2 linked regions of the Drosophila melanogaster genome follow. The protein of the gene in region 1 interacts with the protein of each later gene in a pairwise test. Each region holds a gene or a part of one and is shown on either strand. Other genes may lie near its edges.

Region 1 (5,518 bases):
CAATGGGCTCGCCCAATCCATGTTTGGCGGCAAAGTCCCGGGCGTTGAAGTTCAAACGGCCTGTGCGAGTACTGTGAATGGGAATTGATCAGTGTCACAGTAAACTGATAAATATCTTAATATATATCATACGTATTGGATATAGTGGGCGTCTCCTCGATCTTGTTCTCCTGGCGATAGAGGAGGAAAATATACCGATGCAGGCCAGTGTCCTTGGGCGGTCCAGATCCAACGTAGTCCGCTAGGGAGTGGCCACCAGAAGGATTCTCATTGCTGCCGGGAATGTTGACCACAGACCAGTGCAGAATCTCACGGTACTTGGGATCTTGACGAGTCGGTGCATCGGGATCCACCATGAGCAGGGTCAATAGGTTGGACTTTCCCTCCAGCCCAGACCAGCTGACAATCGGTTGGTCCTTCACCTGGGTGGGGGTTAGCTCGTTGCCCTGCTTGACCTCCAAGTCATCGCCATAGATGACCTTAATGGTGCCAGCGGGAACCGCATCCAGCACATCGGGTACTATGTCATCCATGTTACGTGTAGCGTGTCAGCCCAAAAAGATGATAATACGGTTTTTTTTTCGTGGCGTTATCACTCTGCTGACCAAGCCAGCTGGGTGATAACAAAGCAAAAGCTTCACTCTGATTCAGCGGATATCTACGGATTTATTAAAATTTCCAGTCCAATTAATTAGTATCTGGATGGCGAAACCAGTCAAGGCTATCCAGCGCTGGCAACAGCTAACACCTAGAAATAATAGTTTAATGGACACAGCGGAATAAACTTTATCGCAGTGGGTGAACTGATTGGACAATGTTGATTTCTAGCGCCGATGGAAAATTGTGAAAAGCCCCTTCCACGATAAGCAAGCTTTTATGCCAACTGGCATTTTTAGGCCCTTTTTTGCTTTCCCAAAACGCAAAGATCACTTCCATTGGTGCGATGATTCATGGCTAGAAACTAGTTTTCACTTCGTTGAACATCATCAATAATTGTGACGTTAATTTCAGGATTTAGCTGATCTTGAACCAATGTGCACACGTGATAGCGAAGACAGCACTTGTGGGCTGATCATAAAGTTGTATATCACCCATTTATGAGGTTGTAATCGTACCTTTCCGTTCTATTGTTGGGCATATCAGTTCGATATAGGGAAAAGCCATATAACGATACCCTTTCACCAATGAGAAACACATCATTTTTAGTATATATCATGCTAATTTATTTATTAAACAATTCGAATATTATTAACACTTGAATATCAATATTGATAGCGCTGACAGAGTTTTGGTCTATTAAATACGCTTAGTTGCATTTATCGCCTTTGTTCTTTGCACAATGAAAATAATGATTAAATATACATATATATATATATTTATAATACGATAATACAAATAATAATTAGAGTTGTGAAACGTGAGCGTGAGATTTGTGAGACGTCCCGCGACGCATATAAAAACAACATAGTTTACATTTACATAGTAGGGTAAATCATAGTACCTAGTAGTGGTATGTCTATGGGGAACACGCCCCGCCCGCATAACCAGTGCTCGCGGAGGCAGTGTGTGCGGTATACGGCATAGGGTGTCCGGGGTGGATCCGCTACTCGGGCGTCCTCCGGACTTGCTGGAACTAATCTTGGAATACATAAGCTGCTGGTTCAATTTGATTGAGGAAATACCAATAGATGCGGTAACACTTTCTCCATTCATCTCGTTAAATTCAATTGTGATAATCTTGCTCCGTGATGGGGATGCTTGGGCGCCCTAGCAGCGCGTCTCATACAAGCCACTGCGTCCGATGTAGCGCACCCATTTGACCACATCGTGGTCGGAGTAGTTGAGCTTGGGCTCGAACACCTTCAGGTAGCGTACCTTGAAGCCGGACGGCGCGAATGGCACCTCAAAGTTCATGGAGATGGGCGGCCGAGTCCACTTCTTCTTGGTGTCCGTCTCCAAAAGTTCGATTTCCGCGGACAGCTGTGTCTCCTTCATGCCCGCCATGCGCTTAATCTTCCACACGATCGCGTTCTCCGAAGCCTTATATTTGGCTTTGCCCTTTAGGCAGATGAGCTGCACGCCCGATGTATTGAGCGGGGTTGGTATCTTCACCTCGATCTTTTGGCCCAGCAGTGAGGGCTTAAAGTTGGACTTCAGCACAACCTTAACCTCCATCTTGGTGCGGCCCACCTCCCGCACCAGCGGGATGACTCGGAATGGCAGCGAAATGTCTTTGGTGGTACGGTAACGCATCAGCTCGAACTCCCCGTCCGGCGGGATGAAGCTGATCGAATGCTCCGTCTCGAATTTGCTTAGCTTGACGCACTGATGGAACTGGCAGTCATCGATGACCACGACGGGCTTGCCGGAGCGTGAGGTTTCCGCCTCTGAATTTCCGGAGAGACCGCGTCCCTTAGACTCCATCACGATCTTGTCGTTAATCCCGAACTTGCACTCGGGCATGCCTACAACATGGCGATTATTAAAAGGAATAATGTCTAGATTATTTATGCTAACTTACCCGACAAATACGACTTCATTACCACCTTGCCGGCCACGTGGGCAGACAAAACCTGACCCTGCGGGCTCATCAGCAGGTTCACGTACTCCAATACGTCCAGGAAAAGCTCGTTGCGCCGGTACTTGATGCCCTCGCGACGCCAGCCAATCTGGCCGGTAACCTGCGAGGTTATCTGCATCTGCTCCTCCTTGGTGGCCGACTTGATGCCCTGCTGTGTGATGAAGGTCTTCAGGGTGCCGGAGTCCGTGTTCTGCGGGTAGCCAAAGTCGAGGATCTCATCCAGCAGCTCGTAGATGAGCACGAAGTTATTCTTGATGTTCTCCTCCGAGATCTTGCCGAAGTAGGATTGCATCACCTCGATGATCTTCAAAAGGAACTCAAACACCATCGCGGCGTTCACATTCTGCTTGGTCACAGCCGCCAGCCAAATGTTTGCTCTCTGTGAAAGGAGTTTTGATGATAAGTGGGAGGGTTGGTGATTGTGACATAGGAACTTTGTTCACCGACCTTGATGTGGAAGAAGCTGGTCCTCGCAATATTGGTCACTGGCGAGCGGACCTGCTGGCGGGCGTGGATGACGTTGACCCGAAAGGCGTCCACGGCATTCCGACCGATGTCGTCGCGGTAAACTCGCGAGATCAGCACCTCGCCCTTGTGGTTGTAGACGAACAGGCCGCCAATCATCTTGTGCGCTATCTGATGGTTAGTCCAAGTCGGTGTAATATATATATTTATATGCAAATATAAGATATATACATGGACAGTGGACGATGCTGTAGCTTCAAGCGAAAATTTTTATCAGAAAATCAATTTTCACTCCCCCTTAGTGTGGCCCTTCGAGGTCAGTATATACCATAAGTGATACGGTCTTACAATTATTTAAAAAGAAGTGTTTATTCGAGTTCTGGGCACTTCAAATCCCAGATTGAGTTTACTTCTTGGGATTTAGCTCGAATATTTTCAAAAAATATATAAGTCGTGTTATTGGAAAAAAATAGATTCAACAATTATTTTACAACTAAATATTTCTTAATTCTTCGACAAAGTTATCATGAAACATCAGTTCTTTTCTAGACAGCTCTCAAGTTTTTTTTTTAAATTTAAATTACTTTCAGAATTTAAAAATAAATTAAAATACAAATTCCCAATTGGCAATTGCACTGTTCTAATTTCGTCGCTATCTTGATGGACATCGCTCTGGTATTTTTGGCAATGTAAAAATATGCGGTATAATTTATCGATAATTTTGGGGTCACACTGGTAGTACATGACTCTGCGATTTGACAAAAACAAAATTGAGTTTTGTCAAGAAAATCAACTATTTTTCTGTGTTTAAAAAACCGAAGCCAACAAATCCGACCAAAATGCCTGCCGAAAACTTGGAGGAGCAGGGTCTGGAGAAGAACCCGAACCTGGAGCTGGCCCAGACGAAGTTCCTGCTTACCCTGGCGGAATACAAGCAGGATGCGGCATTGAAGGCGAAGCTTCTGGAGGCGATTCGCACGGAGAATATGGCCCCGTGGTACGAGCACATCTGCTCGGAACTCGGCTGGACCGTAGACAAGGATCTGCTGGCGCGAATGAAGGAGAACAACCGCGTAGAGGTGGAGCAGCTAGATGCGGCAATCGAGGATGCGGAGAAGAATCTGGGCGAGATGGAAGTGCGCGAGGCGAATCTTAAGAAGTCAGAGTACTTGTGCCGCATCGGCGACAAGGCTGCCGCAGAGACTGCCTTCCGCAAGACCTACGAGAAGACCGTTTCCCTGGGTCACCGCCTGGACATCGTGTTCCATCTGATCCGCTTGGGACTGTTTTACCTTGACCACGATCTCATCACTCGCAACATCGACAAGGCCAAGTATCTGATCGAGGAAGGCGGCGATTGGGACCGACGCAACCGGTTGAAGGTCTACCAGGGTGTTTACTCGGTGGCGGTGCGTGACTTCAAGGCGGCGGCCACGTTCTTCCTGGACACCGTAAGCACCTTCACCTCATACGAACTGATGGACTACCCCACCTTCGTGCGTTACACCGTTTACGTGGCCATGATTGCCCTGCCGCGCAATGAGCTGCGCGACAAAGTGATCAAGGGCTCCGAAATCCAGGAGGTGCTCCATGGCCTGCCCGACGTGAAACAGTTCCTGTTTTCCTTGTACAACTGCCAATATGAGAACTTCTACGTACACCTGGCCGGCGTAGAGAAGCAATTGCGCTTGGACTACCTCATTCATCCCCACTACCGCTACTACGTGCGCGAGATGCGCATTCTGGGCTACACCCAGTTGCTGGAGTCGTATCGCTCCCTCACCCTGCAGTATATGGCCGAGTCGTTCGGCGTAACAGTGGAATACATTGACCAGGAGCTGGCACGCTTCATCGCCGCCGGACGGCTGCATGCCAAGGTGGATCGCGTTGGCGGCATTGTGGAGACCAATCGGCCTGACAACAAGAACTGGCAGTACCAGGCGACCATCAAGCAGGGCGATCTGCTGCTCAACCGCATCCAGAAGTTGAGCCGCGTGATAAACATCTAATGTAGTTCATATAAAAAGATTTATTCAAATTCAACATTTATTACAGTGTAAAGCTAATGCAACGTACAATAATAAAAACGATATAAAACTCATGGAAATGCTCTAGCAGATTGTACGTTAGCTTATTATGTATTAACTAAATTCTTTGGAATTGTTTTGGTTACGCCGTCTTTAGTGTATTTGAGTATTATTGCAATCATTCCACTTTTGTACTTAACTGTCATTTGACCTGCTATTTATGTAAATTTAAGCCTAAGCGTCGCCCTCGATCTTCTCCTTCCACGACGGTTCCTCTTTGGTATCGCTACCATGCTGGTTATGACCAGATTCGCTGCCCGGAAAGGCAATTGAGGGTTTGTTGTTGGTCATGAAGCTGCGTGCCATCTCCTCCAGCGCCGCCGACGATCGGAGTCCGCAGTCTAGTGGCTCCTCCACGTCATGTGCCCGCTGCTGTTGTTGTTGT
Region 2 (5,729 bases), 1.4 Mb from region 1:
ATCTGTAGTCCAGCGGAAATAACTTAATCATGGAGGGGAGCGAGTTGACGCGGTTTGGCATTCCGGAGGACTCATCTTTCCCCCGTGGTATTTGTGTGTGATATTTTTAAGTTGTACTTCAGCGGAATACAGAAAACACGCCCCGAACGTAATGCATAATGATAATGTATTCTAAAATTATTAATAATAAATATTAAATAAAGTAATCGTAACACGCAAAGCCCACCTCGGTTCCTTGACCATCACAATGTTGACAAGACGTAATATGAGATGATGTCATTTCCGTTTCACCCCAGCGAACAGCCAATCCGTCGTCTAAACATCTTCTAATCTGTGCCCTGTATTTCTCGGATTGGAATTAAGTCATCAGACCGATTTAGAAAATCGGATCTTGATTGTCGGCACACACAAACGCAGCTACTTTACCGGCATTTACAAAATTCTTCGAGGAGACATATTTCGATGCAATAGTTCAGTACAGAAAAGGGAATTTTGAGTTTGTTTTCTCATTTAATTGTTGAAAGCAGTAAAGTTGTCTAACAAGATTTCTTTGGGGCTTTGCGCCGTTTAACAGTAATTATAGTTTGAACAAAGCATTTGATCGCAAGTAGACATTGAGATTTAAAATTGGTAACCCTATATACATACATATATTTCGGTGGGTCAAGTCTGAAACTAGCTCATTTCCAAATAAACAATAAACTGACTTTAGGCATGAGGAATCCGTTTTATGTTTTAGCAGTATTTTATCTCCTTAAAAGCTGAACTGAAAATTCTCATATATTGCAATTCACAAAGGACACTGTTTAGAACAGTGACTACGTTTGCAGATAAATGAATTATCAAAAACTTTACAAGTTTATTCATTTGAATATTTTAGATATGTGACATAGAATTGTCTTCTACGAATCTAAGAAACCTCCTATGATTGCCTAGTAGACCTTTTATGTTTCTTTGGAAATGTGACCATTAAGTTTCCGGAATAGGAACTTAGTTATATCCCTCAAATTGACCCATCCAAGTAATACATTAATCGAATTAATACATTAAAACTGCTGGAGCCGCAGCTCAACTTGTAGAGCAATACAGGCCCGTCGTTCCTCCTTTAGTTCCATGCCCAGCATATTCTTCTTGTGCTCCAGCAGCGCATTCTCCCGTGTATAGTGCTCGATTATCCGCTCATAGTCGGATTCTGGGGGAGCCTGAGATCCCGAGGCCAAGGAGGCCATTTGACTGTTTATTGACTGCTGCTCGTACAGCTGCTTGAGCCTATAGACTTCGTTGCGCTCGGCGACGATACGTGCTTTTAGTTCGTTCTGCCATTCCATTAGCTCGTCATATTCAATTTGGAGCCGCAGCAAATTTTCGCGGTGCGGATTTGATTTGGGGAGCAAAATAAAGCCAGTGCTGGGATCAATAGTAAAATCGTTAGGAGCATCTTTCGGAGTTAGTGTATCGGTTTTTGGCTCTTCCTGGGAAATACTGTTGTTCGTAGATACGGCTGGAGTTCCAGCTGGTTTGGAGTCAGTGGTATCTTCACTGGCTACAGCGGGCGGAGCACTGCTGCTGTTGTCTACTTCCTCCGCAGTCTTTTCCTGTTTCTTCTCAAAAGTTCGTAGTTTCCGCTTCAGCTGGGTAATGATGCGCTGCACTTCCCACAGCTGTTCCTCGCGTTTCTTGGTAATGAACCCGGCGTTCATCTCGCTGTGGATCTGGGACAGGAGGCTGTCCTGCTTGCGCAACTCCGTCTGGATGTCCTCCGGCGTATCCGGAAGCTTTGGGCTGGTCGATGTTAAAGGGGGCACATACCTAAGAGATGACAATTTAGTATTATGATAACTTTGTTTAAATGTGTGCCATTCTGCCTGATTAGAAAACTGGCGAAACGTGGAAAGCGCTTCTGTTTACGGGGTAATGTGCTCATCGTCGGTTGCAAAATAAACGACTAAATCTGGCGATTTTTATAGCAGCAATCTTATCAACTGCCAACAGTGGTGGGAATTATCTGGGTTCTTATAAGTACCTATTATACATATAAAAAAACAATTTATATCATTAGATAAATATGGAAACTAACAGTTTACTAAAACTAACAGTTTAGTAGTTAACTTCAGAGCTATGACTTCGATTCGTTCTTGTGATTTAACTATAGTTGTTAAATGTGGACTTCTCTTTTACCAACACAAAGGTACTTGGATATTTCCCACCACTGTTATCCGGCTAGCCGGTGTTTGCTCACTTTATCAGCTGGACGTCCGCGAACAAGTTGTTGCAGTGGCAGAGTAGGGCCACCATTAGTCGGTGAGACATCTGGAGCGTCGGACTGAGCAGCATAGCCAGCGACTGAGCGTTGAGCTTATTGTGTCTTTCCTGCTGGATCACCGCGTCGAAGTGGAGCAGCACCCACGCCAAGAGGGTGCGATTGCACTTGGGCAATTGTTCAAGCAGCTGCTGCAGCTCTGCCTGCTGCGTGGTTACCTTCGGATGAGAGGCTACCTCCTCAAAGCGGGCCACCAGATCGGTGGTCAGCAGTGGCTCCGGCAGTTCGCGCAGGAAGAGCTTCAGCAGACTGCAGGCGGTAGGCAGGTTGAGCTCATCAACGGCGGAGTCGTGCTCCCGGTTGTTGTACAACCGCTTGAAGTGCATCAGACGCGTCTTGATGGGCTCAATCTTGTAGATCTGCTCACACTTCAGGTGATCCTGCAGGAAGTCGATGCAGTCGCGCACAACCAGGGGAATGTCCACGCCGTCGTGGCAGCGGGATCGTTCGGTCGCCAAGCTAACGGACACCCCAAAGACGGGATACCCAAGTGCCAGCACTTCCTCCGCGGCGGAGACGTCGTCCTGCTGCTGCGACAGCTGCTTGCTCTTCTTATCCTTTTTGTCCTTCTTGTCAGCCTTCTTGTCCTTTTCCTTGCGCTTCTCCTCCTTGTCCTTCTTCTTGGGCTCATCACGGTCCTTCTCCTTATCCCGCTCTTTCTCCTTGACCTTGTGGGAGACGGAAGGCTCCTCCTCTGCGTGCTTCGAGTCTTTTTCAGACTTGTCCCGCGACTTTTCCCGCTTCTCCTTGCTCTTGGAGCTGGTGAACTTAAAGGTCTTTGACTTTTTCGACTTGGATGGACTTCTGGAAGTAAAAGAAAAAATATTACTTGTCTCTGGGTCAGCTGACCTGCACCCACTTGGTGTCCAGCTCCTCCTCCGGCGAGCTCTCGCCCTCCAGAGCGGCGTATCCTCGATCCTTGCCCTTTTCCTTCTTGTCCTTGCGCCGGCCAATCAACAAGTCCTTCTTGCTATGGTCGTGATCCTCACTAACTGTAAAGGCAAGGTGAGCCCATTGATTTTTTCCCAGCTTACGCCCACATCTTTGCGCTCCACTCACAGTCGCTCTCCTCCTTGCTCTTCCTCGACTTAGCGTCCGCCGCCTCGGAGGCGTACAGCCCGGGAAACTCCTTCTCCTCGGGACTGTCAAAATCCATCACGAATAATCACTTCACCAGCAGTAAATAAATATAAACAATTGCCGTAAACAACATATGCAACAAATAATCGATTGCTTAATCGAAGTCGCCGCTGCTATCCAACACTGATAAGTGCACAGATGGCGCTACTGTGTCATGTAAAAAATATGTAGTAACGGTGTAGATATTTAAAAAAAGGCAAATTGAAACAAGAGAAAACGCTACAGTCGAGTTCCTCAACTATCAGAAATGCGATCAGCTACTAACTCTTAAATTTTTATAATATTAATATATATATATATATATATATATAATAAATAAATAAATAAATATGTGTTAATATATAATATAATAATAATAATATTTTAAATAATTTAAATTCTAAGAAAATATTTTTTATATATATACATAAACTACATAATACATAAAACTTCCAAAATGACAAGAGTACCACCTCTGTAACTACAGGATTTTGTTAATTGTGCGCGCTAGTGTGGGCGTGGTGAAAATGTTTTTTCACAAGTATACAAATTGCCAAGACTATTTATAAAATAAAACTAAATCAAACCATTTTTTCAGGGTGGGGCTGTAAAACTATAAGGCGGTTTGTTAACTTCTAAACTCCCAGAAACCGAAACCAGAATACAGCGATGAAAAAAAACTATTCGTTTATTAGTTTAAGTAATATTCATATATATATATGTATATATATAAAAATTAATAAGTTTGCGATACAATGTTCTTAATTGGTACGGAAACGCTTCCTTATACCTTTTGCATTCTTTTTACTTTACGAGTAGGCGGTTGTGTAGCAAATAAGTTAATCAGTATAATTATTTCACGACCAATCAATCCCGCGGTGCATCGCTTATCACTCAGCTTGAGTAGGGGTAAACAGTAGAGAGGAGGAGGATTAGGTCGCCTCCATTACCGGCAAGCCAAACAAATGCTAATAGTGCGAGCTGATGCGGCTGATGCAATTCCGCAGGGTGGATTGCGGCATCTCCAAAATGCTACACAGATTAGCTTACGGCCACTATAAACTGGCCATCAGCAGCTGGGAGCCGTTGAGAGCCAAGGATAGTGGCGTGGCCATCGTTGTCGTGGTGGTCGCGTTTCTGCTAATTGCTCTATTTGGGAGACAGACACTGTCGGAATAGGCCATAACCAGTCCAGCAATCAGGGTCAGCAGGAAAGTCAGGCCCAGGAGCCCGCAGCTGAGGCGCCGTACGGCCTGCCACCAGGGATCCAGAGCGAAGGGCAGGAGCTCCTCGAGCGTCAGTCCGTAGGAATAGCTACGAAAGAAGCGGGCAGGCGGCACTGTGTAACGAAGTTATTTTTTAATGAAATACGACGGAAAGCGTTTACTCAGCAGTTGTGAAAATGGGCTCATAATCCTTTGGATCCTTCCCCGTCGCGGGCACGACAATGATGTGCTGCTGCTGCCGCTGCTGCCGCTGCTGATGTCCTTGTTGCGTTGCCAGAAGCGCTGTCTTCTCGTTGCAGGACATATTTGCCGTGTGGTACCCTGGATGTGTGCCGAACAAGAGGGTATACGCAGTTTATGTAACTTTATCTGTAACAAGAAGTGAAAATAATAATAATAATGAATAATGATTTATTCAAATGACTGATAATTTATATATGATAACTGTGACATGTATCTTTCGTTTTTTTTTTGTCAATACCACCAAAGTTGCCGTAGCCCCTTGCAGGCACGACAGATAACTATAGATGGGAACTGGGTATTTTACAGTCCTTTTTCAGCCCTTCTCACGGGATAGTACCAGGATTGCAAACACTCCCGGCTGGAAATTGCTCCATTCGCAACTGGCGGACTACTGGCGACTGGCTTCGTTCTGTCGCAACTTTAATTAGCTTGCAGCTGGGTTGTCTCTCTGTCCCATTGCTTTATTGCCATTGCTGTTTGTCTTTGTGCTCGGTCCGGATTCCTGTAAACAACTTTATCTCCATGGGCCGTGGCGATCCGCTCATCTTCCGCAACCGGCGGTTGGTCTTATCTGGCGCTTTTTTGGGGCATTACATAACCGCAGCAGAGAAGTCGCCTCCCCCAGTTTCCCATAGCGATAAGGATAAGCCCAAGATTTCAGGGAAGTGAAAAGTTCACAGCCAGATCGATCGGTTTAATGTGTTAGTTTATTGGGATTCGGTTGGTAAACATGCACGGAATACATATATTCGTATGCCAGTAACTCTAGGGTCTAGGCTCTATTCGATTCGATAAGGTAATACGATAAGCCATATACTCCT

The links. The genes of interacting proteins can lie anywhere in the genome.
Region 2: the proteins of AP-2mu (region 1) and Rlip interact in a two-hybrid assay, tested with the Drosophila melanogaster proteins (2 studies listed by BioGRID).

The regions. Positions count from the first base shown.
Region 1 is NT_033777.3:22,460,290-22,465,807, reverse strand, and holds AP-2mu (adaptor protein complex 2, mu subunit), read right to left. Parts: upstream 3,354-5,518; 5' UTR 3,278-3,353; exon of another isoform or gene 3,218-3,277; 5' UTR 3,206-3,217; coding exon 3,029-3,205; intron 2,961-3,028; coding exon 2,522-2,960; intron 2,466-2,521; coding exon 1,768-2,465; 3' UTR 1,205-1,767; downstream 1-1,204. Other genes in the region: CG7054 (uncharacterized protein), read right to left, coding at 1-71, 133-533; Rpn7 (regulatory particle non-ATPase 7), read left to right, coding at 3,886-5,055.
Region 2 is NT_033777.3:21,015,525-21,021,253, reverse strand, and holds Rlip (Ral interacting protein), read right to left. Parts: upstream 3,571-5,729; 5' UTR 3,477-3,570; coding exon 3,380-3,476; intron 3,313-3,379; coding exon 3,180-3,312; intron 3,125-3,179; coding exon 2,240-3,124; intron 1,810-2,239; coding exon 1,047-1,809; 3' UTR 501-1,046; downstream 1-500. Other genes in the region: CG5697 (uncharacterized protein), read right to left, coding at 4,495-4,753, 4,827-4,969. UniProt on the Drosophila melanogaster protein: Participates in receptor endocytosis during interphase, is also involved in mitotic processes when endocytosis is switched off.